Linked DNA regions of Mus musculus: regions 2, 3 and 4 are each reported to be linked to region 1. The links are microRNA targets in miRTarBase. Many come from high-throughput screens and were not tested one by one. Region 1 holds a microRNA gene; each other region holds the end of a gene's coding sequence.
The links. Region 1 holds the annotated microRNA mmu-miR-3475-3p (UCUGGAGGCACAUGGUUUGAA, at 1,819-1,839, opposite strand). A microRNA usually pairs through its seed, bases 2 to 8, with sites in the 3' UTR of a target mRNA and lowers its output. Matches are read on the target gene's strand: a 7mer-m8 pairs with bases 2 to 8, a 7mer-A1 pairs with bases 2 to 7 and ends in A, and an 8mer does both.

Region 1 (7,119 bases):
TAGCAGAGGAACCCATGCTCACTCTATGCACCAGAGGCTCCTTCACTCCTGGCCACCGTCCCTTTGCTTACTGCTCACCAAATTTCTTGGTTGATCTGACGCAACTGCAATATTCTTGCCAGGTGTGTAGTTCTTTCCATAGACTTTAGAAGAACTGAGAGGTAGACATTTCTAGTGGCGAAGAAGCAGAATTTCTCTCTGTCTCTGTCCCTTTCTCTGTCTCTGTCTCTCTCCCTCTCAGTTTTTTTTTTTTCAAGACAAGGTTTCTCTGCATAGCTCTGAAAAGCACTCTGTAGACCAGGCTGGCCTGGAACTCAGAGAGAGTCATCTGCCTATGTCTCTAAGTATTGGGAGTCAATGTGTACCCTACCAGTTAACAGTTCTGTCTTTTCCTGAAGAGAGCCTTGGTCTTCTTATTAGATCATTGGGAGTTCATACCCACTCTCGGAGGTTATTTGCACTGTTAGAGGATGCTGCTGGAAAACCCTAATCCTGAGTGGCAGTAGATACTGTTCTTAGACTTTCCAAAGATCCCCACCTGTCTTAGATCTATCTGGAGTTGGATTTCCCTGGTCTAGACATTCCTTGAAGAATGTTATTTCCCGATTTCTCTAACTGCTTGTGGACACTGCAGAATAGTGCTTGGTCTGTTTCCTGTTGGTCTCTTTTTTCCTTTTTCCTTGCTCCCTACTGGTCAGGAGATTTGCTCCCACTAGAGCTCCTCTTCCCCACCCTAGGACTGATGCCACTTGTCAAGGTTGAAGATTGATGGTGGGTGCTGCTGGATTTCTGCACCTCTTCTTCCATTGCCTGCCTCTCTCTGGCTCTGGGATCTGAGAGAATTCTTTGTGTTCCATTCATATTCTTATTTCTTCAAGGTTTTTGATACCCCTCCTTTGAATTGGTTAATATGAGGAAGAGGTGGAAGAGGTGGTGGAAGAGCAGGAGGAGGAATCTGAGGAAGAAGAGGAGAAGCCATTGTTGGCCTCCCTTTCCCAGTTCAGATTTCTAGGAAGACTGGCTTCCCCCTTGTGATCTCCCCACTGACTGATCTTATCCCAAGGCTCCTTTCTCCTCTAGATTGACTCTACTGGGCAGTTTGCTTCAGGTTCATTTAGCAGCATAATCTTCAGCCCATGGGGACAGTACAAGCAGCTCGTTGGAAGGCTGTCATGTCTGGAAGGTGGGGTGGACAGAGCCTTTGAGTATAGCCAGAAGGGGATATACTGATCTCAAGGAACCACCTGCTTCCTCAGCCACCTTTATACCACGCATAACTCACCAGCTCGATCTAGTTCTTCACCTGCAGTGCAGGGGGGTCTTAGCACAGTGCTAAATGGGCACAATTAAGCTCTCTAGGTGACCGTCTCTAGCCACTGTCACTCTTTGCCATCTGCCAGCTGATGTCTACATATTTTTGCAGTGAAAAGCAGTGCCACCCTTTATTCAGACAGGCAAGCAAGAAGCAAGAGGAGGGGGCTCCACGGAGAGTCCTATATTTGGGCCCTACCAGCAGAGTCTAAGGATGTGTTCTCTTTTATACAGTAGATAGCTGTGTGGAGGGCAGGGCACAGCAAACAGTGGGCATGCTAGTCAGAATCTGAATTCTAACAAATGGTTAGCACATTTTATTTTTACCAGAATAACAAGAAGCTTCTAAGACAGGGTGCGGCTGGGGTAAACAGGCGAGGAGGATCCAAGGGCAGAAGATCCCAGGCTGAGTGAGAATCCTGGGGAATCCGGACAGCAGCAGGATGAGGCGGTCCAACCCGGCCAAGATGGTGAGCAGGAATGAAAATCCAGTCTTGTGCTCTGCTCTTCAAACCATGTGCCTCCAGAAGAACTAAGAACCATCTGGACCCTCTGTGGGGGTACATGATTTGGGGAGCAGAGCATAGTCTTGGTGAAGGCCTCTTCATTTGCGTGGAATAGCTCAAACTACAGCACATCAGTGTTATCCTCCCCAATATTGGAGCTCAGAAGACCGAGCTGTTGAAGACTGACTGGCCTACACCCTGTCATCTTTGGTTTCAGAGCATACAAAGGCCGGGTCAATGGAGAACCTGCTTGGGTCACCAGAGCAATGGGAAGCTGTAAGATTAAGGTGAAGATGCAATTTCTTTCTTTCTTTCTTTCTTTCTTTCTTTCTTTCTTTTTTTTTTTTTTGAGGGAATTATTTTCCAGAACTTTCTGCTTACCAAAAGTAGTAGTTTAACTGTGCTTTATTTTATGGTAAAAGTAATACGTGTCTTTTATGTCTTCCAACATCTCCAGTGGACTGCCCTTCATATGACTGCTACTTAATCACTCTGCCCATATTGGATGGAACTCCTATCCAAGCATGCTCTTTGGGGATGCTGTTCTTTCATGTTCTGCACTGGGATGAAAATGAAGCCATGATACCATGATAGTAATCCTCAGTTTCCCTATCTGTATAATGGAGACAGATGAAGGCCCCCTCCTCTTCTTAGGTATCTTGACCTTTCAAAGCCTGTGTTAGCTTTGGTTTTTGCCTCCTCTTCTATAGAAACTAGACAGAAGAAGCTGAGTTAAGGAAAGCTGTGGACCTTTGGGCAGAGGCTGTTGAGCCCCATGCTCAACGTTACAGGTAAAAACCAGGAAAGCGAAACGCAGACCAAAAGGCTCAGGCAAGACCAAGGGAGATGGCCAAGCCTGAAGTCAGCCAGCAGTTAACTACTAACAAGCACCGCACAGATGTTATCTTCATTTCAGAGTGGCCTTTCCAGTAAGCCTCTGCTGACAAAAGAGGGAGGGGCAGGCTGGAAAGAGAGTAAAGACCTCCTGGACCTTGGCCTGACTCCAGAGCATGGCTACCTTGCTGTGGGAAGACAGGCAAGAGGATGGAGAGACAGGGAAGTGGGTGGGGATGCTTTCTCAAGGCCACATTTCAATTAGGACTGCCTGGCAAAGGTACAGGAAAAGAAAAGAGTCCTTCACTTGGTGTGTGTGTGTGTGTGTGTGTGTGTGTGTGTGTGTGTGTGTGTGCTGTTTGTTTCCTTGTGCAATGCATACTGCATTATGGTTTATTGTAAAAGGACAGGATTAAACCAGACGTGGCAATACATTCTTATAATCCCATCACTTGGGAGGTGGAGACAAGAAGATCATGAGTTCAAGGCCATCCTCAGCTGCACAGTGAGTACAAGATCAGCTAGAGCTACTTGAGAATTTGCCCCACCCCCATTTAAAGACTGGATTAGGATTCTGGGTCTCTGCTTCAACTAATTAGCTGGGTTGTATTGGGTCAATTCCTTGCCTTCAGTAAGTCCTGGCTTATTTACATGCAGTTACGTACAATACCAGGAAGAAAACGAAACTAAGAAAAATACTGCATTCAGGCCTATCTCTATCCACTTACTTTCATTTGTTATACCCATTCTGCATAAGGCCCTTGTGAACAGTCAGATTTCTTCCAGACCCAGACTCAATGATTTTGGAACACAGCTATCAAACATGACACAGGAGGAGATTTAATTTCCTAGAGGCTGAAGTCCCAGAGATTCAGGAGAATCTCCAAGGATTCATTCTGGCTAGCTTTCCTGTGACCAGCTTGCTCGCTCTATCAGGAGTTGGGCAGGTTTATTCAATCTAGCTCACTGTCTCTATTTGCTCTCTCTCTCTCTCTCTCTCTCTCTCTCTCTCTCTCTCTCTCTCGTTCGCTCTCCCTCTCTCTCCATTCTCTTGGTGGCATTTATCCTTTATAGTGATTGATGTAGACACTAGGCAAAGGCTTGCCAAGGGAAAATGCAAATTATGTCCCTGTCCCTTTTCCTCCTGCACTGGGATGGCCGAGAGCTCTTCTGTCTGGTGGGGCTGAAGCTGGGAGGGTGTAGCAAGGTAGAGGCAGGGACAAAGTGATCCCCACAAAGTACCATTCATTGTGTGGTTGGGTGAGCTGGCCTGCAACCGAATGGCTCTATTTGTTGAGCTCTGAACCAAGCCTCACATACTGCTAGCAGGAAGATGGGTGACTCTTTCTCTGCCTTGTTATGTCCCTCCTACTTCCCCATGAGCAAAACCTCAAGTGACCAATAGATCATATAGAAATAAGGCCAAGTGACTGGTCCTTTCTACTGATGTCTCCTTTTTATCAAAGCTGGGGCCATTTACCACTACCGTCATGCCATGACAGGCCAATTTTTGAGAGCTCTGCTGAGTCCCACCGACCAGATATGCAGTGAGATGTGAAGCTCTGAGCTGGATGGTAGAAAGCTAATGTAAATGAGCTGATGAAAATGTCAGTCACATTTCCATTCTCCACTCATTCATGGATGACTGACAAGTACCACCATGACCTGTAGGGGGCATGGGACCAAAATGTATCTTCCGTTGAATAATTCAGAACCAATGAGATAACCCTAATGATGAGCTGTGGTAGCTGTAACCTCAGAACTTGCTCATTGCTCGCTCCAATCAGCCACAGTAGACAACTGGTATAGCTCTGCCATCTTACCTGTCAATGAACCAGGAATGCACAGCCACACAATGACTCAGGCATTGCCTCCTCTCCATCACTGTGCTCCAATCTTCCGAGTGCTTTTGGGACACATGACTCATCTTTAGTACGATCTAGGTTAGCTACAGAAAGCTATATGTTCATTTCTTTACAAGCCTGCTCACATTAAGAGTTTCGTTGATTCTGTCCATTTATAATGATAAATATTTTTAAATATACCGAGCATCTAAATTTAGACTTAAGACCAGTACTGACTTTTATATAGACAACTTTCATATAAGTATACAAGGTACTTTGATCATTTTAGTAATTTCTTTTGTATTGGTCACCTAGACTCAACATTTACCAAGACTTTTGCCAGTTTTGTTCCCTATGCCTGTCTCTTCCTTCTCATATAATTGTGGTAGTATAACATTTTCCACTGTAACTTTTTCAGTGTACAGATAGCGTCATTAGCTTTTTAAAAAAAAACAAAAAAACAAAAAACAAAAACCAAAACCCAAAAACAATGGTAAGCCATCTCCAGAAACCAACTCACTAAGCAACAACTCCATATTCCTCTGGCCCTAGTTATGTTATTTAAATGCTATAACATTTTAAGGTTTCCAAAATCAATGACACATCATTCTCTAAATATTTGATAATTTACCTCCTAATACGAGAACAGTAACCACAATGCCATTTTCACATGTAAGAAATTAACAACCATCTACTCTCCACTTGGCAGGATCTTTCCTTTTAAATAAACAAAGGAATCTATGCTTAAAATCAAAAGAATGAGTCACATATAGTCATTTCATAAACTATGAAATGCTATTTTAATAGGAGGCATTAATAATCTTGTTAGATAATTTCGAATGTTTGTTGCAGTTCAAAAATTCAATTAGTGTTTATGATTTTTCCCAAGGGTTCTGCCTCCCAAACAGCTGATGTGGCCAGAGGCTGCACTGAGGCAGGAAGACAATCCCTGTGGGTAGAGGTAATGGCCTTCATTCCAGCCCAGTCTCCTCTCCCCTCACAACTGATTAACAAGAAACAAATACATCAAATAAATCTATACAAGTCTCAGCACCATTATGCCACAAAGGAACATCGTGGCCATAAAGCAGGTTCTCAGACAGAGAGAGGAGCCTTAAATCCTTGGCTGTAGCCAGTGGAGGCTTCAGCAGCATTTTGTGAGGAGGGGGCCAGACTGCAGCAGCTGACTTGGCCATTAGTCTTGCAGAGTGGAAGGTTTAAGAGCTGATGTGGTACCCAAGGCCCTCAATCCCATTTCCAGAACAGTTCCGACCCCACCCTAAGGCAAGCTCATGACTCTGTTAGCACAGCACAGAGCAGACATCTCTCACCCATTCAAGCTCTTTTTTGGTTCTGCCTTCAGATATCTGTACAAAGCTACCAATCACTTAAGACTTCAGCTGCATATATATATATATATATATATATATATATATATATTATCCTAGCCATCTTAACAATCAATTTCTGTATGATTGCGTGGCTCAGCTTTACAGTCTAGTGAAGCCGGGCACCGAGTCAAACATTTTCGTTTTCTTTATTTATACTGTAGCTTGTTTCAGAGAGAAGTTAAAACGAGGAGACAAACATTTAGTAAACAGCCTGGACCAGATGCTCAAAACTGTGCTAGGTGTTGTGGAAAATGCAAAGAAGAACACATGGGTTCTTCCTGCCACCCCACCCCCTTGGGGACAGAAGACTCTCAGGAAGCATCTAAGCCACAACTGGACCAGACTGGGAACTGGGAGGCTGGGCACCAGGCTGGGAACTGGGAGGCTGGCCACCAGGCTTCTAATTTTTCCCTCACCTCCTAGCCAGCTGTGTGATCTTGGAAAAATTATGTCCCTTTCTGGCCTTCAATAACTTTACAGTAACATGGAGAGGTTACATGCGTATGTATATGTGTCTGTTTGAGCAGAGGCAGAACACTGATTCTGAGAATATTGGTTTTCTGAGACGACGTGAGCTGTGAGGAGTCAGGGGAGAGATTAATTGCTTCTTAAAATCTTTCTGTACTTTTTGACTTGTTATGACGGACATGTTGCCTTTGTGACGGAATAAAGCTAACATTTACAGATATGGTTGGATAGAACTAGCTACCTTCTGGTTCAGCTTGAGCCATGGTCTGTGATTATCAGGGATTGTGGGACAAACATTAGAAACAGGAGAAGGGAATGCTCAGTAGACTTTCATAATCAGGGAAAGCTGCCTGGAGGAGGAGAGGCTCTAGGCAGACCTTGAAAGCTGACATGCTTTACATTGGTAGAGACAAGGACAAGGCATCTTTGGCACAAGGTGGGGATGAGTAATAAATTGGCAGGGACCACATACGGAGTGGAGGGCAAAGATGAGAATAACTCCAAAGGCCCAGATGCATCCGAGGTTGGAGAGCATCTTGAGCTGGAGAGCAAGCCTGAGAACAAGAACACATTAGCTCAGCCCTCCTCTCTAGGGGGCGGTCCCTAGGCCCACCTGCTATTGGAGCAGCTGTGCAGCAGAAAGTCTAGAGGCCCCAGCCTGGTGCTCTTGGATCACGGAGTAAGCACAGCACTTGGGGATTTAGCTAATCAATCTCGTAAATTCATCTCCCTTTTACTGGGATCTGTCAGGAAGCTGATTAAATG
Region 2 (7,119 bases), not on the chromosome of region 1:
TCTTCCCGCCTCCACCTCCGCGGTGCTGACTTTACAAGCGTTCACCACCATAGCCAGCCTCTATTAGTTTCCTACCACAATGGCTCACATTTAAATTTCTGACCCACTTAGAATTTATCTGGGGCTCTATTTTGAGGTGAGATTTGAATTAGAGTTTTTACAGAACAGCCAATTTTTTGTAAGACTTCTGGAAATAAAATTATTAGGTGAAAAGTTTATAACTCTAATGGAAGAGTGGAGTAGAATAATGATCTCTGGATGCTGGGAAGGGTAGCACTTTTTTAAAAAAGAAGTGCTAGTAGATGGGATGGAGAGTGTTTTAAACTGCATACTGCTCTTCCAGAGGCCAGAAGTTCAGTTCCCAGCATCTGAACTGGGCAGCTCACAACCACTTATCACTCCAGGGGAGCCAATGCCCCCCCACCAGGCACCTGCACTTGTGTGCACATACACATATGCAAACTCATGTGACAATCAATATTATATGCTTAATTAAAAAAAAACAAAACAAAACCTAGATCTTAAAAAGAGAAACACTACTAGGAACAATAATTCCAAAACGGAAGCATCCAAAGACATAGCTTGACGTTGACCATAAACTTTGCTTTGTCCCCCTTCAGGTGGTCAAGAGCCAGCACTGAGCAGTGACTCTGACATCTCATTAATTATGGCACTGGAAGTGGGCCTGTCTGATGTAGAACTTTCCACTGACCAAGACTGCGAGGAGGTGAAATCTTGAGATGGTAGAAATGGACAAGAGAAGACATAGGAACCAGGGGGACAGGAGGGAAGCATGCTCCAAGGACTGAACTGGATACACGACCTTCAGATCACCATGGCAACCCCAGGGCACTCTGTTCAAGGGTGGTAACGAAAGCAATATCCAAAGTCTCCCGAGTCAGGATGCGGGTTCCCATCTCTGCAACAACAGCCTGTGGCCTTGATGTGGAAGTTGAAAGCTGAATTTCTTGGTGTCTGTGTAGACGTGCAGCAGACTGGAAGGAGAACTCCACAGTTTCTTCACTTGACTTCAGCCTCTCCCATCTTCTTGCTCTTGTTTGGGAAAAATGGTTTCATTCCCTTGGCGACTTCTTTTTAAAGTTGATGTGTAGTTTACATCGATTGATTCCCTCCGTTTTCCCTTTGATCCACTCCAGCCCATGTACAGAGGTCTGCTTAGAAGTTCTGGTTGCTGGCCCTGTGATTGGTTTATACCACGTCTTGAGATTCATAGTCGCGAGTTATCAATATGACGTGTGTATGACTTTGAGGATTGCCTCGGCACCCTGAAACAGTGGAAAGGCAGATTTTACCAAGTGTCTAAACCCCTCCAATAGGTGGGCCTTGGCGAGCCCAGCTGCCAGACAGCCACACTAAGTTCTGGATCTGCTGAGCTGCTTGCTGGCTATTTTCCACTCCACTACATAGGCTTCCACTTGCCACGCTCTGTCAGGGGCCATCTTAGCAGGAGAGAACTGTCAGGGAGGAATGCAGGTCCTCTGACTGGAGGGCCTTAGTCTAAAACTCAGAATTCCCCAAAGGACACCATGACAAAGTTCAGAGTATGTGGAACTATAAGCCTAGTTTAAAAAACAAACAAACAAAACAAAACCTGATACCCTGTCTTCCCAGGAAGATGCCTGACTCCCTGATTTCCTCCAAAGCCTTAGCAGTTTATCACCTTCATAAATGAATTCCACGGGTACGAGGTATAGAAAAGATGAAATCAGTTTTTAGGTCACTGGCATCCAGGTGTAAGCTTATTTCAGGAACTCTCCTGTTAACCCTCACCAGCCTACATGGAAAGATCTAAATAAGTCCTTAACAGTTTCTCGGGTCTTCTGAGAGCATTTGGGTATCAAGAGGAGAACGAGGTATGATCTGATAAAGTCTGAATCAAAATGTGCATCATGGGAAATTGCTAAATTGAGTCTCCTCTGAGAGTTAGAATCAAATAAGATTACAAGGAAAATAACAAATGACTATCAAAACCCACCGTACTATAAAGTGGTTTACGATTTTATTCTCTTTTTGTCTGAAACAATAACAAAAGTGTGCTGTCTTTTGAGTAGACAGTATTGTGATACATGCAGCAATTCCAGAGACATAGGTGGCCACCTGTGTCCCTCTGGACAATCAGAAGGATCTCTTCCTCCTCCTCCTCCTCCTCCTCCTCCTCCCTAGCAGTTGGCAAGGTCATACAGAGCAGGGATTATCAGGAAAGCAAGCTCTTCCCACTGAGCTGTATTTATGTATTTGATTTGAGCTTTTCCACCTCATTACACTAATATCTTTCAAACATTCGTGAGCTGTAAATCCATGCTGCCCACTGGAATTTTGAGTCCAGGGCGATGGAATTCTCCACTGCTCCTTTTCCTTCCTTCCTTCCTTCCTTCCTCCCTCCCTCCCTCCCTCCCTCCCTCCCTCCCTCCCTTCCTTCCTTCCTTCCTTTCTTTCTACTTTTAATGCATTCCTATTCGATGGTAGAGAGCAAGGCAAGGAAAATGATAACAAGCTTCAGAAAAATCACCTCTGTCAAAGGTCTAGCACATCCCATAATTAATGCCCGCCTCCAAGGCCTGAGATGCTTCGTAGCGAGGAAGCAGGTGAGTGCTAAACCAGACTCTCTCCAATGAAGTTTCGAAGATGAGTCTCACTGTCCCCTCTGTCTCAGGTGACACATCTGCACTTCTCCAGGGGGGATCTGTGTTGTGAAAACAACTGAGTCACAAAGGAAATTTTAATATTTAGTCTAATGACATTGGGGTAATTCAACAACAAGAGAAATACAAAATTACATTGCATGACCAGACAGAAAAAGATCTGGTAGGTGTTTTCTGGCCAGTGGCCAGGTAAACGCTGATTATATAAGCAAGTCCTTGACCTAATACCCTACAGGATGCTAAGGAGCCCAAGAGGCCCACCCTTAGCCTGTTGATCTGACTCCAAGGAGACCCTGTGGCAAACTCCCTGAGCCTTTGACAGTCTCTGCTTACCAAAGAGTTTTGAAGGGCTTCCCTGTGACCTTCATGGCAAAAGAAAGATTAAAAGAAAGTTTTTCCTCTTGAGATAACTGGCAAAGCTCTTACTATAGACATTGCTGCTGCCTTCCGTGATGAGGAGGCCCTGACCTGAGGACCCAGTGAGCCACACGTGGCTATGCAGCCCAGGAGTGCCCACTGACTATGCATTTACAGGCATGCATTTTTCTGGAGCAAGTGGTGCACCAACTCTGTCCAACAGAAATACAGCCCAAGTCACATGCATTTTTTTTTCTAACTCCCGATAGCCACATTTTAAGAAGCAAAAAGGAAACAGGTGGAAATTATTTAATAGCAGTTTAATCTAATATTATTATTGTTTTGATGTGCAAATGATGTAGGGTGTCAGGAAAACATTTTCCTCTATTCTTTGTTACCTATTCTAAATCTGCTGTCTTTTACACGCCCAGCACATCATCATTATTACTAGCCACAGTTCAAGCTTTCCGTAGCCACATGTGCCTAGTGGCCACCAGCCGGGCAGCACAGCCCAAGAAATGTTCCAGAATCCTTACAAGTGCTCTCCTGACTGTGACAGGAGAAAAAGGATAAGATTACCTCAGGTTTTCCCCAAAAGAAAAACAGACTTTAGCCAAGTTACCTAAGGAGACAGCCAGGGATGTTCTTATTCCATAAGTAATAGCGGTTCAAATAGCCTTTATCAACTTTCTAAACACAGTGTCCACTGTCCTCAGCAACTGTTGCTTCTCTGACGAGCTGTTTGTTAAAAAACAACAAGACAACCAACCATGCTGATTTGGTGCTGAAATAAAATTACACCCTCACTTTTATGACAAACCCTGAGACTCATGTGAGAGACTTACACCCCTCACTTCTATGACTAATCCCAAGACTCTTAATGTGACACTTAGCCAAAGAGAATTTACCTCAACCCATAGTTCTTCATCCCTGTGGCTGCCCCGTTCTAAAGCAGTAGAACTCAGAGACAGGAAAGGCGCAGGAAACCGCAGGCCGAGCCACATACCCGGTCTGTGTGGCATTGCCGAGAAAGGATCTCTGAGCTTGTGGCCATCCAGCCTCTATGTGGTGAATGGCGAGCAGCTTTCTCTTCAGCTTTGTCCAAGGTTGAGAGAGGAAAAGAGCCCTGAACTCCCTCAGAGTCACTTTCAGAATGGCTTCCTCCTGCGTGGTTAATCCTTCTAAAGGGCTGCTGCCTCCTAAGAACAGCCTTGGGTCTGGCAGGGCCTTCAAGGTCAGTTCTGGTCACACACCCAAGGGATGGATATAGTATGGAGACAGGAGATGATAAGGTATCAGAGGCAATCAGGCAGTGGTGGCTCACACCTTTGAACCCAGCACTCAGGCAGGTGGATCTCAGTGAGTTTGAGGTCAGCCCGGTCTATGAAGCAAGTTCTGGGACAGCTACAGAGACAAATACTGGGTGGAGGCAGGGGCAGAGGTGGGGAGGAGTACCAGAGGCACCTAGCTATTTCAACATTGTGTGTGACATCCTGGCCATGGAAGCAAGTCTCTCTCCAGAGATTTGTTGTTGTTGTTGTTGTTGTTGTTGTTGTTGTTGTTGTTGCTTTAACATTTTCATCTGTGGGTATTCAAGGGTCTAGCCTGTTAAGAATGGCTGTGCCCAGTGGCCATTTTCTTTACAGCCCAGACATTCCTGGGACTACAACACTTCCAGAACCAAAAGAGAACATCAGTCTGCCTAAGATTCTTGGTGTAAGCTTAGTTGGTGCTGAAGTAGATTGCATAAGCATTTAATGGCATTTAGTTGTCCACTGAATGCATATCCTTGGCTGAACACCATGAAAATTACCAAATAAAAACTTTCAAAAATTTTAGGAAAGATCATCATGCAATCTACAAAGAGAAGGTCCAGTCTCTGCAGTGCTGAGGTACTGAGGCCAGGGAGATGATGTCCTGTAGAAGAAAAAAAAAAAAATTAAATGTATGAGTTGCTCTATCTGCATGTACACCTGCAAGCCAGAAGAGGGCATCAGATCCCAGATACAGATGGTTGTGAGTCCCCAGGTAGTTACTAGGAATTGAACTCAGGACCTCTAGAAGAGCAGTCAGTGCTCTTAACCACTGAGCCATTTCACCAGCCCCCATAGCATTCTTAATTTCCCTTCCCTTCCTTGCACACACACACACACACACACACACACACACACACACACACACACACACACTTTCCCTATCTTACACCCCATTTCCTTAAACCCTGTTCCTTGGTCCCCTCCTAATAGGCCACATTCGCACAAGAGCAGGATTTGCGTGACCTGTTTCTGCCATCTTCCCAGGGTCCTTAACATTTAGCAAGCCATGCTTCTTGGAAAGAACGTACGGCAAAGAGGAGCAGAGGCACTGCCCTTCAAAGACTGGGCTGCCTGATTTCCTGAGCAGTATTTCTGTCCATTTTGGGAGAGGACGGAGGAGCAGGGGTGATGGCTGAATTTCACAAGGGAAACGACCAGTACCCTGAAGGACATCCACAGCAGGCAAGATCCCAGATCAAAGCAGGGTGAGCTAAGGAGAAAGTCTATGTGGAAAACTGCCCCTCCCCTGGGCTCGGAACTTACCAATGAGTCCCAGGGAGAGCAGGTGTTGAAGGGAGTCAATAGTCATGAGTTAAAACGTCTTGATTGTGAAGAAGATTGGGATACTTGGCTCCCAACAGCAGGCCTTTCTCAGGAGGGTCAGACAGTGCTAGTTAAAATCTTGTAGATAGGGAACTATTTTATTCCACTGTGAGCTTCGTGGTGGCATGGTGTTATCATCCCATAACTAATGAAGTGAATGTAGATCCCAGATGTGGACTTTAATTAATTTAATCAGTTCCTTGTTCTGTAAGAGCCTGTCTCACTCACTCACTCTCTCCCTGTCCTATGTCCTTCATAATCAAATGGCTTTTTCTTGAACCTCAGTGCCCAGATCCTCTAAACTGGTGGCATTACAGATGCTCACCCTCACTGCAGAGCTGTTTGCTCTTTAGCCACTTGATATGTGTTCATTGATGAGGGGGAAGAGGAAGAAGAGGAAGAGGAGGAGGAGGAAGAAGAGGAAGAGGAGGAGGGGGGAAGGAGGAGGATGTGGGAGTGTGCTTCTTGTAAGACCTCTAAAGAGGCAGACAGGAAAATCTACAGAGAAAGGAGAGACAGTTGAGTGACCCAAAGTCATTGCTGGGTAGAAATTCTCTGGTGTGCGGTTCTTTGGCCAGCAGTGACCTTGGAGAAAATGTGAGGACCGTGTGTGCTAAATAAACCAAAGACTGATCAACATCCAAATGGACACATGTTCTTCTGTGAACTAGCTGAATTGTCTCCTGATGTTCTCACAAACAAAAGTCAAGGTGGATCCCTTGGGCATTTCAATTTTTTCAGGCTGCTGGTTGGCCTCGATAAATCCACAAATCTAAAACAATGGACTGTGGCCTTAGTGACACACATGCCATCTTTAAACTTTCGTGTTTAACCCTCTTTACTTCAAAACTTCAGACAAATCTAGCACTCATATTGAACTCAGAATAGTTTTCTTTGAGAATGTGAAGATTTTAAATAGCCAAAGATTTCTTCATGTAAGAGCTAGCCCATTGTAGTGTATCCTGCTCTTTGAAGTAAATACCAAATTGTCGCCTATTAGGGACAGAGCAGTTGAAGGCCAGTGCATGGGCTTAGCAATCCAAATTTGTGTTGCTGTCTTCCGAACCTGTCTGTAGAATTTTATTGCAAGGGTCAGAGCGCCCTCTGCTGGTCTGATACTTTCAGCAAATTAATTTGCAGTGGGTTTCCAAGTCAACAAATGTGTCTTGCATTTTCATCGGTACCATTCCTTCAATAGTGGAGAATTTGGCCAGCAGTTATCAAATGAAGAGAGAATGTCTTGAACTCTAGAGAGCTGTAGGAGACCTCAAAGCAGGCCTGTTTTAAAACGTTGCTGTGTTCTGTTGCTGTCTGGGATGTGTGTTGTCAGCATTGCTCTGTGTGGCTTTGGCTCAGCTCCGCTTCCTCCCACGAAATCGAGAAGGAAGATCAATAAGAGGACTTCTTCTTCCGTGTGAATGTAAATGGTGTGAAATAAAGCGTTTTGTATGTGTGCAGAA
Region 3 (7,119 bases), not on the chromosome of region 1:
TCTCATTTTCAAGGCCGCTGGTTCCTACGGCAGGGCTGGCTTTTAGTGGTGCCTCCCACTGGGGAGCCTCGGCCCCGGATGTTCTTCCTTTTCTCCGACGTGCTCCTCATGGCCAAGCCTCGGCCCCCACTGCACCTGCTGAAGAGTGGCACCTTTGTCTGCAGAGCCCTGTACCCTATGTCCCAGTGTCACCTTAGCAGGGTCTTTGGCCATTCGGGAGGACCTTGTGGTGGTTTGCTCAGTGTAAGTAGTAGATGGGAAATCTGGGCCCAAAATATACTTGAAGTAGTTGTAGACCAGCCCATCACTTGAGCTAGCTCCCTTTTGGGGCTGAGGTTTCACACTTATCCCTGAGTTAGTGTCACGGGACCAGAGAGGGCCCCAGCCTGACTTGCTCTGAACTAACTGGTTTCTCCTTAGCTGTCCTTTCCCCATGAGAAGCTACTGCTTATGTCTACTGACCAGGAGGAGCTGTCACAGTGGCACCACAGCCTGACTCTGGCTATCAGGTTAGCCGTGCTGAGAAGGAGCAGCGTCCCTCACAGCCCCTCCCCCACCCCGTGGGTGACTGAGGACTGACCCGGTGACCAGACTGTTTTCTTCCCACAGAAGCCAGAAGAGCTCGACCCACAGAAGTGTCACTGCAACATGACATTGTCATCTACAAACATGCTGGGGCCATATTCACAGCTATCCTGGGATACACATGGCAGCTGGGTGTGCCTATGAAGAATCTTACAAATTCCAGAACTCGGATACTCAGGAATAGGGCAGAGCCACGAACAAAAGGGAATGTACTTCGATTGAGCCTCAGTGGAACAAGTCCCTTTAACGCCCTGCCACTGGGGGGCCTGAAAAGCCCCTGCTGTCTGTGGCCAGCGGTTAATCCCATTTGCAGCTTTGAAAAGGAGTCCATTTTGTTGTTATTGCCTATGGTTTCCTGATTTATTCTTGAGAAAGGATCTTACCCAGGCTGACCATGAATTTGAATTCCTTCTGCCTCAGTCTCTCAGGTGTTGGGTTATAGGTGTGTGCTGCCACACCTGGCTATTGTATATAGTTTGTTTTCTTGAGACAAGGTTTCATGCAGTCCAGGGTGGCCTTGAACTCCAGATCCTCCTGAACTACCTCCTATGTTCTATAATTTATTTCCCCACTGGATCTTAATAAAGGGTTGTTTTTGCAAAAGCCTTCCTGTCTAAATCACGAGAAAATGGAGTTTGAGCCTTGATGGCTGGCATCTCGGTAGCCTCAGAAACACAAGGGCAGAACTGTGGCTCTCTCTCTGTCTTCTCCATTCACATTCTGGAAGGCAGTCTCTCTCTTCCTAATAAGGGAAGAGTGCTTGGCTTTTGCACCGTGTGTGTGTGTGTAGCAGGGAGTGGAAAAAGCACAGAGGAACACCCAGTACGAGGGGACTCTTTTTACTAAACCTTCAGTGGTTGTTCCCCATTTACTGCTGGACCCTTTGTCACCGTCTTGTGCCACCTTCTCCTCAGCCCCTGCTCCACCTCCCAGGAAGGAGCTAGGTTCCGTGTTTCTGGGCTCCAGGTTATGGGCTCTTCCCAGGCCTGACTGTTTCCAGCTTCTTGGTCTTCTTTCCCCAGGTCCTCAGTAAAGGGTATGCTGGCCTCTGTGAAGGAGAGACCAACTTGCTCTAGTTTCACAGCCATGGCTCTCCAGCCATAGAAACCTCCCAACCTTTTACCTGGTTCTGGAACTTCCACTCCTGTGCCAGGCTGGCAGTCTTGTAGAAGGTGGTGGATGGTCTTTAGTTTTGTGTCTAGAAGTTCCCTCTGGGTTCCAACCAAAGTCGTCACCCTGTAGAAATACCCACTCAGGGGGCTGCCCAGTCTGTCTCCTTGGCTCCCACCTCACCCACCCCACAAATTCTCACTGTTCAAAAAGGGGATCCAGCTGTGTCATCAGGTGGTTCAGGTGCTGCTCCGTCTGGGCCAGCTGTTGTGTCAGCTGCACCAGCTGTTGCTCTGGGAGTGAGGGAAAGGGCATGGTTACTCCTGCAGTCCCCTGATCTACTCCATCGCCAGAAACCACCACTAAATGCTCAACCCACCTGACTGCGAGGATTTCTTCTTGTTTTTTTCCTCTCTGAGAACAGCAGCCTCATCTGGGCCCTGTTGTGGAAGCAGATAAAGACAAGGCTGCAGCAAAGGCCCCAGCACCTCAGAGCCAGTGAAGAGAGGAGCCATAGAGAAAGCTCTGGGCATCCACCTCAGAGAATCCCAGTTGTCTCTAGTCCAGCTGCTTACCCAGAACATGAAGTGAAACGTCAGGATGCCCACACATGGCCAGACTGCTAAAGCACTCCTGGGAATGTGAAACTCTCCAGTAGGGACGGGAAGATTGCTCTTACCCCAGCCTTCTTATTTAGCATCCCTATACCTCGCTGCCTTTGAGGTAGAGTCTTGCTAAATTGTCCAGATGGGCCTTGCACTTACAATCCTCCCTCATAGTAGTTGGAATAATAGGACTGTGTCACCAGTTCCTGTACCCTCAGTCTTTGCTGGTGAAAAAAAAAATCTCCAATCTGTTCAATTCACATTATCCCATTACAGATTAAAAATCTAAAACAAAACAAAACAAAAAACCCAACAACAAAAAGTCTATATAGTGCTCTTTGCTCTAAAAGGCAGTGCCCTATGGTTTATTTTTAGGATACAATTCTCCCAGTGCTCTGATAGGTAGATAAAGCACAAGCCTCCTTCAGAACCTTTAATTGGAAAGTGGGTTATCATAACACCGTGAAACTGTCAGCCGCCATGCCTACCTCTCTTCCACGGGTCCCGCTCCTCTTCTCAACTGCTTATGTATTCTTCTCCATGCATAAGACAGAAATACTGGTCTCGAACTCACAAGAGCTGTTCCTGCCTCTGTCTCCCCTGAATGCTGGGATTAAAGGCGTCTAACACTACGCCTGGGTAGAATTTATTAATCTATCTTTAAACTCCAATCTTCATCCTAGCCTGTCAAGTCTGCCTGGCTCTTTAATCTCATCTAGTTTTATGTTACTAATTAGTTCAGCCTCTATTCCCCTGTGCAAGTAATTGACCAGAGTTGAAGATAAAGCACTGGGTGGTAGGTTCCACTTTCCATGTCAACAGTTTCAAAGTAATCAGAATGTACAGTCAGTTCACATTTCAGGGTTTCCTTCCTAAGGAGAGCACGAAACGGCTTGGTGTCTGGTCCACTAGACACTCTGTTGCTGCCGCGATTAACTCCTTGGGCCAAGGTTGGAGCCTCAGCAGCAACTTCTTTTTTTGCATACTGACACTAGTTGGGTTAAAACCCCACTTACATCAGACACTAAGTGGATGAGCTCCAGATTGAAAATCGATCGTCACTGGAGAGAGGAGTAAAAGTAACGGTTTCTACAATTTCTCAGCCCCCTACATCCATTATCTCTCTGGATCCTCGAATGCCCCAATAATGTGGAAAAACCAAGGAACGAGCCTTCATTTTACAGGTAGCCGGGAAGCGGTTGTTCTTGGTACTGTAGCGGCCCCAGGAGATTAAGGCCCAGGGCTCCCACAACCCACCGCCATACCGCACCTGCAAACACTTGAACAGCACAAAAGCCACGACGGCCGCGGTGTACAGAGCGCCCAAAGACAGCGATCCGGCCCGGGCTCGCTCGCGCTGATCCTTGGGTGGCGGCTGCCGCCGAGGTTCGGTGGTTCCCGGACTGACCTGGGAGCCCCGTTCTGTGGATTAAAGCCATCGGTCAGTTTCTACTAGGCAGTCCCAGCCTCCCTCCAGCAGCTCTCGCAGGTACCTGGGTGTGCCCCCAGATCGGCGCTGGGGCGCTCCCCAAGGACTCCAAAAGGCGCAGACACAAGCAGCAGCCCCAGAATACTCAACACGGGGCCAGCGCCCTCCATGCCTGGCCCACCAGAATCGCACGCCGGGTACCCCGCGTTCCAGCGCTGGGCCTCCGGCCGTAGTGCGCACGCGCAGGAGACCACGCCTACATCGGGGGGGCTGAGTCCCTTAAGGCGGCCACGCCCATCTCAGGATGGGTTTAAGCAATATTTGCATAAACCACGCCCACCTAGCGTTCCTACATTAATTAATGACCTATCTATTTATAGCTTTCTTAAACAATTATGTCTCCAGAATCTTTCAGGATAAAGTATCATGCCTAAAACAATGGCTCATTGTTTTTCTACCTAGAGAGACCAATTTTCTCACCATAACCAAAAAATTAAGCCTGTTGTAGAGTCATAAATTAGTCGCGCCTAGAAGCTAAGGCAGCTCGCTCTGAAGGCCTGTTTCCTAGGCTACATACGAGGGACATGTTCCTTATCCTTTCGCCTAGGGGAAAGTCCCCGGACCACGGGCAGAGAGTGCCGCGTGCACACGCGCGTAGACTTCCCCCGCAAGTCACTGTTAGCCCGCCAAGAAGCGACCCCTCCGGGGCGAGCTGAGCGGCGTGCAGCGGGGCGTCATCCGTCAGCTCACATAGTGACGCAGGCAGTGCGACCTGGCTCGCACCAACCACACGGGGCTCATTCTCAGCGCGGCTACACTTTTATTTATTTATTTTTGTTTGTTTGTATTTTGGTTTTTTGACAGGGTTTCTCTGTGTAGCCCTGGCTGTCCTGGCACTCACTTTGTAGACCAGGCTGGCCTCGAACTCAGAAATCCTCCTGCCTCTGCCTCCCGAGTGCTGGGATTAAAGGCGTGCGCCACCACGCCCGGCCACTTTTATTTCTATACAACCTTCAGAGCCAGATGTGAATGTACTAATTAGGAAATCAAGGTCACCCTTTCCTAAGAAAAGAAGAAAGAAAACGGAGACAAATCTGAATTCCTAATTTATTCTTTAATAGCTGTAATTCTTTTTTTAGACTGCTAGTCCAAAGAGAGCAAGACTGTGGGTTTTGCTTTTTTGTTTTTTTCCATTTTACTGTCCGAGCCTAGTCACTTGTTGCTAGGGGAACTTGAGGAAGTGAATGAAATTAATGAATGAATGTTCACAGCGACTCAAAAGGCAAATATACAACTAGGTCCTTCTGGGTCTCATGTAACCTGGGCTGGCTTCATTCTCATGTAGCTGGAGCTGGCCTAGAACTCCTAACCCTCCTGCTTCCATTTCTCAAATGCTGGGATTATGTAGTAGCAAGCACATAAGATTCACAGAGCTGCCAGATGTGGCACCACACTCCTTTAATCCCAGCAGTGGGGAGACAAAAGCAGACAGATCTCTATGAGTTCAAGGCCTGGTCTACATAGTGAGACCCTCTCTCAAAACCGAACAAAAGGAATGAAGACTGAAGTGTGGACACTATGCCCCTCCTTAGATTTGGGAACAAAACACCCATGGAAGGAGTTACAGAGACAAAGTTTGGAGCTGAGATGAAAGGATGGACCATGTAGAGACTGCCATATCCAGGGATCCACCCCATAATCAGCATCCAAACGCTGACACCATTGCATACACTAGCAAGATTTTATTGAAAGGACCCAGATGTAGCTGTCTCTTGTGAGACTATGCCGGGGCCTAGCAAACACAGAAGTGGATGCTCACAGTCAGCTAATGGATGGATCATAGGGCTCCCAATGGAGGAGCTAGAGAAAGTAGCCAAGGAGCTAAAGGGATCTGCAACCCTATAGGTGGAACAACATTATGAACTAACCAGTACCCCGGAGCTCTTGACTCTAGCTGCATATATATCAAAAGATGGCCTAGTCGGCCATCACTGGAAAGAGAGGCCCATTGGACTTGCAAACTTTATATGCCCCAGTACAGGGGAACACCAGGGCCAAAAAGGGGGAGTGGGTGGGCAGGGGAGTGGGGGTGGGTGGATATGGGGGACTTTTGGTATAGCATTGGAAATGTAAATGAGCTAAATACCTAATAAAAAATGGAAAAAAAAAAAAAGAAAAGAAAACAAAAACAAAAACAAAAAAAAAAAAAAAAACGAACAAAAGACCAAGACAGGGTGTTACATTGTCTGCTCTAAGCTGTGTTGTTTGAGACAGTCTCAGTAGCCCAAGATCCTTCTGAGATAATCTCTGGAGTGCTGGGGTTGCTAGAGATGCAGCCAGCATGTACCTCTCTCCCTGTTATCTTTTACCTCTGCTACATCTTCAGAGGGCCATCTTCAGATCAATAGCTCTCGGAATGAAGAAACACGTTCCATTTGCATCTCGGTCTCCAGGACTTGGCAATCACCAGGCATGAGGCACACGAGTGTTAAATAAATGAATAAACCATGAGAGTCTTATCTTGTTTTCCCAGAGAGGGGGGCATAAGGACAGGGCAGGGCAGGGCAGGGCAACAGGAGTTGTTAAAGTCTGATTGCTCCAAGGCAGCTTGGATGGGAAAGAAGAGAGGTACAAACCTGGAGTGGCTGCCAGCTGGCATAGTGTGTGTAGATAAATTCAGGTTCATTCTAATGGGACAAATGACTCACTGATGGCTGGCTTTTTGTTTTGGGAGTTTTGAGTCAGGTAGTCCAGGTTGACCTCAGAACTCTTTGTGTATATGGTCAAGTACGCTCTAGAACTTCTGAAACGCCTGCTTTTTCTTCCTGTACACTGGGACTCTAAGTGTGTGCCACCAAACCTGGTCTCCAGAATAAGGTTTTGTTGTTTCATTTTGATGGTACGGGGTCGGGGTGTGTAGGCTCCCCCAGCCTGAAGCGGGTTGGTACAAATCTTGTCACCATTGAGGTGGGGCCACCTGTGGTGCAGCTTTCCACCCCCTTATAAACACGGTTTCTTAATAAACTCATGGGCCTTGATCAAAACCTTTGTCTTGGCTCCATTATTTCTCTCGACCATCTAGTTTCTCTCTTTTCAGCCCCAGCCTGCCTCCCAAGAGTACCCCAGTTCTTATAAGCCTCAGGCCAGCTTACTACAGAGGTGCTTCTAGCCATGTCCTCACACATGCCAGGCAAGTAGTCTACCACTTCACTATAGCCCCCAGCTGCTTGTTTTTAGTTTTAGTTGGAGATAGGATCTCATTCTTTAGTCCAGGCTGGATCCTAACACATAATCCTCCCGCCTTAGCATTCTGACTTGTGTCACACTGTCTGGTTCAGATTGCTACTTAGAGAACACTTGCTCATTATTGCCAGATCTCCTCACCCTCAA
Region 4 (7,119 bases), not on the chromosome of region 1:
GTCAGGAACTTTCTGTTGCCTGCGGAAGAGTCTGAAGTATAATGCAGCGTTGGCGACTGCACACAGGCTCCCTCCAGTGGCTAACTGCTTACATTACAGAATCATAGCTGTAGAATGCAGCCTGGAGCCTTTGCCCTCTAGTACAGTCCTTTTGTTTTAAGGACAAGGAGGGTGAGGTCTAGAAATGCTGGGTGACTTGTCCAAGATCACATTGCTTACCCAAAGTCAGTGATTCTGTAAATACTGACAAAAAGTCTCATGCCAAGAATTTCTTTTTTATGTCAGGTTTTTATCGACACTATCCCAAACATCATGTTTTTCTCCACAATGAAAAGACCATCCAGAGATAAACAAGAGAAAAGGATTTTTACAGAAGACATAGATATATCTGACATCTCTGGGAAGCCGGGTCCTCCACCTATGGGCTTTCACTCTCCGCTGATCAAGCACCCTGAGGTGAAAAGCGCCATCGAGGGCGTGAAGTACATTGCAGAGACCATGAAGTCAGACCAGGAGTCCAATAACGTAAGCTGTGTGGCTCCCAGTCCACACCTCCGGGTCTGTCTGTCTGTCTATCTATCTGCCTGCCTCTGCCTTCTGAGTGCTAAGACCAAAGGTTTGCGCCACAACCTCTAAGCTAACACACCTCTGGGTCTAAATGATTAAATGCATAAGTGTGACAGGGAGGTTGACCAATGAATTGGCTTCAAGCTCTAGTTACTAACTTCAGATGCACTGTGTTGACTATCTCTGGCAACTATAGTAAGTCATTTTGGCTTAATTATGCAAAAACTAAAGGTTGTAATATCAGGTGTTGAGGTTTGGAGGTTTACATATTGAAGGCCAGGCCAGTAGGGGGCGCTATGAGCCTGTGTCCCATCTCAGGGGATTCCTATCTAACGCCCTCTGCTTCCCCCAGGCCGCTGAGGAATGGAAGTATGTTGCCATGGTGATGGATCACATCCTCCTCGGAGTCTTTATGCTGGTGTGTCTCATCGGGACGCTGGCTGTGTTTGCAGGTCGGCTCATTGAGTTACATCAACAAGGATGAGCAGAGGCTGAGCTAAGCCTACCTCTGTCCCAGCCATAGCCATCGCTAGGAAAGATGGAAGAGAGGAAGGTCTGTCTCCTTGAATCCTTTCACACTTACCAAACATGCAGTGTTCTACATGTCCTACATGTTAATGAGAGTGATCTCTGCTCACACGGCTGTATTCTTGAAGTGTCTCCCCTTTGCTTCTGCTTTTAACACTATGGGCCTCCTTAAAGGGCGAACCCTTTGAAGTAAATAAAAGTGAGCCCTCAAAAGAAGTGTTTGCTTCTAAATGGCCCCTGGGAGAGTTTTGCTTGGATACTCAAGGTTTTCTGTTTGTATTGCCATGGCTAGTTGTTTTTGTTTTCTTTCCTTTAATAAATATAATTGTACTTATATGAGTGATCCGCCTACGTGTATGTCTCACATACACGCCTAGTGTCCATGAAGGTCAGAAGAAGGTATCCCATCTCCTAGAACTGGAACTACAAATGGTTGTGAGCGTCCACATGGAACCTGGGAATCAGGCCCTCTGGAAGAGCACCCAGTGTTCTTAACCACTGAACCACCCACCTATCGGGCTCAGTTAATTTTTATTTTTAAAGTGCTGAGAGTCCCTTACTTAAGACACACGGTTTCATACCTACTAGAAAAGTCGTGTCTACCAGATTCCCCAGATTTGATGTGGACACAAAGGAAGTGGTAGAAAGGAAATTAGGTAACTTTAAACTTAAAAAAAAATTGTGTGTGTGTGTGTGTGTGTGTGTGTGTGTGTGTGTACATACTCGCACACATTGATGAAATTGGGGGACAACTTTTAGGAGTTAGTTCTCATCTTTTATCTCATTTGAGGCAAAGTATCTTGTGATTTCTGCCGCTGTGTTACATTCTCATGTAAAGCTTCCTGGGGCATTTTCCTTTCTATACTTCTCGGCCCATGAACAGAGTGCAGGGATTCCAGATGCATGCCGCCATCTCCAGCTTTTCATAGGTCCTAGGATAGAATTTAGGTCGTTAGGTTTGTCCAGCAAAAAACTACTTTTACCTGCTTAATCCATTTCACTGGCCCAAAGGTAATTTTAGGGCGATCACATACAAATAGTATCAAAACCTCATGGTTTAAAGTAGACTTCTGAAACCAGGAGAGGGAGAATGCTTTCTTAAGTGATTTCTGTTTGAGAGGCCTTCTTGAAAGGGCGCTTGGGATTCCTTGGGATTGTACCTAGAGCTTTGCACACAGAGCTATAACTGAGCCTCAGCTCTCCCAACTTAACGGAGCCCCTGGATTTTGTTCTCAGGACCCGAGGAAGGGCAGATCCCATCCTCATCAAGGGTGTGCCTCTGACCCCATGAGAATCGTCTCGCCCGCATGGGTTTATTTTATCCAAATTGTTTTACACAGTCTCCATAATGTCCCTAATTTACAAATGGAAAAAAAAATTTTTGGGGAAAGTTAAACTCTGCTCCATCTAGAAGTAGAAGAACTGAGATCTGAACCCAGACAGAACTTAAGATTCTAAAACAGGGGCTGGAGAGATGGCTCTATGGTTAAGATCATTCCCAGCAACCACAGGGTGCATGGTGGCTCACAACCATCTACAGTGGGATCTGATGCCCTCTGCTGGTGTGCAGGTGTGCATATACAAAGCACTCACACATAAATACATAAACAAACAAACAAATATTTTTTAAAGATTTATTTATTTATTATATGTAAATACACTGTAGCTGTCTTCAGACACTCCAGAAGAGGGCATCAGATCTTGTTACAGATGGTTGTGAGCCACCATGTGGTTGCTGGGATTTGAACTCTGGACCTTCAGAAGAACAGTCGGGTGCTCTTACCCACTGAGCCATCTCACCAGCCCCAAATATTTTTTTTAAAAGTCAAAAAGAAAAGGGATTCTAAACCGACTTGCAGCTGATGGGGTCACCTGCTCCCTGCTCTCCCAGCATGCCTGGCGTGATCTAAGTAGTTCTGGTCTGTGTTGGTGGGGACTCTGTGATATCCTATTTCCTGCCTTCTCAATTAAAACCCCTGGCTTTTCCTTCAGTCCTTGGACGCAATCATGTTTGGAGTTCAGGCCCTATGAATGGAACCAGAAACGTATGCACACACCATCACCATTTCTGAAATCTGAAAAATAAATTCTCTGTGCCAAACTCTAGGCTCTAGTACAATTTACCCAGACCAAGAAGCCGTGTGGCTCTGGACGCAGAAAAGGCCTTTGAATCACAAACACATCTGATCCGTCATCTCCAGGGAGAGCTATAAACTGCATAACCAGGAGGCCAGTGCGAGCCCAGGTGGCTTCAATCTCCTGAGGGACTTCCCATCACCCCTGCACCAGTGCTGGGCTCTTTCATCTCAAATAGTTTGCACTTTAAAGTGGAAACAATTGGCAGTTTCTCAGAAAGTCACACTCGGGTCACCAAGTCACTCAGCAGTCCCATTCCCAGGTAGAGAGCCAAAGAAATCGAAAGAAAGACTTACACAATTTGTATGAGAACGCGCACAGAAGGCAAGAGCCAGAGAAAGCGGTCTAGGCTCCAACCCACAGACGACAAGCAAAAGGGATGTGGAGAATGGGTTTTGGGGTGTATGTGTGTAGGCCTGGGGGGCCATCGCCTTTTTGTTTTGTTGTTGTTTTTGAGATAGAGTTTCTCACTGGCCTGGAACTTGCCAAGTAGTTTAGGCTGGCTAGGCAGGCCATTCCGAGATCTGCCTGTCTCCTCTTTCTGCAAACAATTTAGTTGGCATGGGTTCTGGGGCTCTTACTCAGATCTAAAAACAAGCATTTTGTCAGTTGATCTAATTCTTTAGCTTTTTCTACTCACGACCACTTTTTGCTTGAGAAATGTTATGTAGAAATATAAAATATGTATAAAAATAAATAACAAAGAAATTTAATTAAAAAAATTCTCTGACATGCATAGCATTTTATCACCTATTAAGGATAAAAAATAAATTTGCTTTTGAGAGGGGTGTGTTTATTTTTTGTCTAACACAATCGCATCTAAAGATAAACAAATTTGATACTTACTTGCCTGGGACAATGGAAGGTAAATATCACAAGTCTCTGTTTTCAGTAATTAAACATAATATGCTCTAAGAGAGTAAGGTCACCGCAGTTCATGACATTCAATAGTATCAAATCTGAGCAGAGGTAAATCAGTGTGTTCACTGGTGTTGCATATCGTGATGGCGTGCACCGTGCAGTGTTCGTGTGTGTTCAGACCACAAGGCAACTCGTACAAACACTGCCACAGAAGATCTCAGAATCACGCTGTGTTTGATTTTTGAGCTAACTTTTGGTAATTGCACATCCGGAACCTGTTTCTGCTGCCCAGTTTTTCTGAAACCCCACACCTGGTCACATGACCATGTGGCCACAAGGTAAACTCCACTTACACAAGGTCCTTAGAAATACTCAGGTAGAAATGGAGAAGAGGCTGTGGGAGGCTGGGGCGGGGGGGTGTGGGGTGTGGAGGGGAAATTAGGAGTTATCGTTCATGGGAACAGACTTTCACTATGGCAAGATGAAAAGTTCGGGAGGCGGACTGCTGTGCTGACCACACAGCATTGATACCCGAGAGCTGTGTTCCTAAAAATGGGTGAAGCGCCACAATCTATGTCTGTGTACGCTCTAACAAGGGTAAACCAAAGGCCTCAGCCCTGAGCTCTCACTACAGAGTCTGGGGATACACGGAAGGCATGCTTCATACACTAGGAAGTCAAGACCTCCAGTGAGTTCTCTCAGATCACAAATCCTGCCCTTTGGCCATGTCTTTTTTTTTTTTGGTACACGTGTTCTCTGTGCATGTGTCTGTGGCCAGAGAACCTCTGATGTCATTCCCCAGGTGTCACTAACCATTCTGATATTTTGGTTGTGAGTCTAGTCTTTAGTGGCTGAGCCATCTCTCCAGCTCTCAACCACCGTCTTTTTAAAAGGCAGGCTCTCTTGCAGATGCTAGGCTGGTTGGCTGGTGATCTTGTGGATCCGCTGACTCTGACTTCCCAGAGTCGGGATTTCAAGTGTGTGGCTGCTGTTCCCTACTTTTTGTTTTTAAGTGGGAGTTCTAAGGATCAAAGCCAGGTGCTTGGAAGGCAAGCGTGTTACCACTGAGCATCTACTCAGCCCTATCACCATACAGTCCATTGCTTTCCAAGCAGCCATGACCTTCCCCCCATGTTCTCCACTCCACCCCACCCCCATCCTAGACAGCTTGGCCCCGTGTAGCTACAGTACTGCATCAATGTGCGCTCCATTAAACTCCAAAAATGGCTCTGTCATTCTGTCCTCAAGCCAGCGTCTCATTAGTTCAAGCCTGATTTTCAGAAGGCTACCAGTAAAATCGGTACAGGGACTTCCGGGAACTATCGCCACCTAGTGGTGTTTGTGAAAGGGTCCAGCCTGTGAGTTCCGTGTGCCTGTACATCTATTGGGTTGGCAGGCTGACTTCCGGAGAAATGAGGACCAAGAACACAAGGCAGGTGCTATCTGATAGAGATGAGTTTTCAGGATCAGGACTGGAGGACCCAATGTAGGGGGCGGGGTGTCTCAGGACTGAGGAGGGTTCTTACAATGAATTTCCCCAACCTGGGTGTTGAGGCAGCATTCACACGCACCCACACACTCATTGGGGTTGCAGTAAAGACTGAAGTGTCTGCACTACTGTGTCCCCCACTTTTATATGCTAAACCCTAACTTCTTTGCAACTGTATTGGAAGATGGGGCCTTTGGGAGGTAACCAGCCTTAGGGAGAGTCTTGAGTGTGTTTTGACAAGGAGAGGCATGCCAGAGAGCTTCTCCCTCCCTCCCTCCCTCCCTCCGTCCCTCCGTCCCTCCGTCCCTCCCTCCCTCCCTTCCTCTTTCCCTCTCTCCATGTGAGGACGGACCTTCTTGCATCCTGGTGGTGATGCTTGTCACGCTGGTGAGAACAGGGACACTGTAGCAGCTGGAATGAGCTTCAGCGTTCCAGCACACACCCCTCTCCCGCACCCCCCCCCCCCACCCTCCGTACTCGCCTCTACAATCAATCCCCTTCTTCCCTCACGGAGCTTAAAGCAGAGGCCGTCACGGGCATGGTTTCCACCGGACGCAGGGCAAAGTGAGGCTAAAAGCTGACGTCACAAGGAGCTGAATTGCCGGCACATCATGGGGTCCTTGCTGTTCTCTGGTTCCACTTCATCCCTCAGGGTGTCCAGGTGCCGCCCGCACACCAGGCTGGGAGGATGAATTGAAGCCCGGATTGGGTGGAGTCTGCCGGATCCTTGTCCGGTTGGGTGTGAGTGGCGGGGCTTTACTGAGGAGTTTAGTGTTCCAGCTCTCTTGACCGATTCAGTAAAGCAGTTCTTTTAGACGATATTCAATGAGACAGCTTGTGCATATACACTTTTTTGTCAGATGAATCAAGGGCAATATATGAACCTTGGAGGTGGAAAGGAGTTCTTCTTAGCTCATTGAGGCTTCATACGGTGAGGATTCGTGGCTGAGGTGTAATGTTCTGGGAACACCTCATTTGCATGGAGAGGCACTCCAGGAATCCCAGGTGTTTGCTGGGTAGGTTCTTATCTGGAGAGAGGAAACTCGACCTGTAATTTTGTCAAGGACTATGTGACATTCCTCAGATAGAAGATTGGGAGCCAGGCTCCTCACATCAGGCAGAGAAGCAGAAAAGGGAATCCTCCATTTTGCGCCGAGCTTGGGAAAGCTGTTGAGACACGGAGGACCAGAGCCTTAGTCCCAAGGTGCAACACTCTGGGACAGGAAAAGACCTGGCAGATCTGAACCAAGTCTAACATTTGCTCATAGTCAGTACTGGGTCAGTCTTACACACTTCCTCTTCACAAATACATTAGTTATGCCATGAAGGGAAACTTGGTGAAGGTCATTTGTGAGCTCTCTGTACCCTGTGCAACTTTTCTCTAAATTAAATCTACCCTGGCAACAACAACAACAGCAAACAAATAACATTGAAATGCTTAGCTGGTGTGGTGGCTAATTTTCAGTTTTCAACTTGACTTGATGGAGAGATACATGGAGGTTCGTAGAACACTCCTCTGAATGTGCCAAGTGAGAGTG

Region 2: the mRNA of Rnf150 is a reported target of mmu-miR-3475-3p. Seed matches in the 3' UTR shown: 7mer-A1 at 4,536-4,542.
Region 3: miRTarBase lists Arhgef39 as a target of mmu-miR-3475-3p. Seed matches in the 3' UTR shown: 7mer-A1 at 1,108-1,114.
Region 4: miRTarBase lists Chrna1 as a target of mmu-miR-3475-3p. Seed matches in the 3' UTR shown: 7mer-A1 at 2,775-2,781.

The regions. Positions count from the first base shown.
Region 1 is chrX:140,305,712-140,312,830 of GRCm38, reverse strand. Mir3475 (microRNA 3475) reads right to left here and starts at 1,883; the gene lies at 1,819-1,883. The region is part of intron 3 of Gm32113 (predicted gene, 32113); the gene reads left to right. It also overlaps a transcript of Frmpd3 not described here.
Region 2 is chr8:83,082,816-83,089,934 of GRCm38, forward strand. Rnf150 (ring finger protein 150) reads left to right here. Exons shown (of 7, transcript NM_177378.4): 7 at 621-7,119. The coding sequence ends at 739. Among named protein-coding and RNA genes, the nearest start is that of Tbc1d9, 79 kb to the right of the region's middle.
Region 3 is chr4:43,490,211-43,497,329 of GRCm38, reverse strand. It overlaps Arhgef39 (Rho guanine nucleotide exchange factor (GEF) 39), which reads left to right. Exons shown (of 12, transcript NM_001013377.3): 10 at 14-243; 11 at 421-509; 12 at 610-1,188. The coding sequence ends at 652. Ccdc107 (coiled-coil domain containing 107) reads right to left here and starts at 3,965. Exons shown (of 6, transcript NM_001037913.2): 1 at 3,794-3,965; 2 at 3,571-3,722; 3 at 2,075-2,135; 4 at 1,898-1,988; 5 at 1,709-1,821; 6 at 1,409-1,633. The coding sequence starts at 3,899. The coding sequence ends at 1,428. It also overlaps Rmrp.
Region 4 is chr2:73,560,108-73,567,226 of GRCm38, reverse strand. Chrna1 (cholinergic receptor, nicotinic, alpha polypeptide 1 (muscle)) reads left to right here. Exons shown (of 9, transcript NM_007389.5): 8 at 286-525; 9 at 920-3,946. The coding sequence ends at 1,051. It overlaps Gm30940 (a long non-coding RNA gene), which reads right to left and starts at 6,041. Exons shown (of 2, transcript XR_866434.2): 1 at 5,934-6,041; 2 at 1,849-2,027.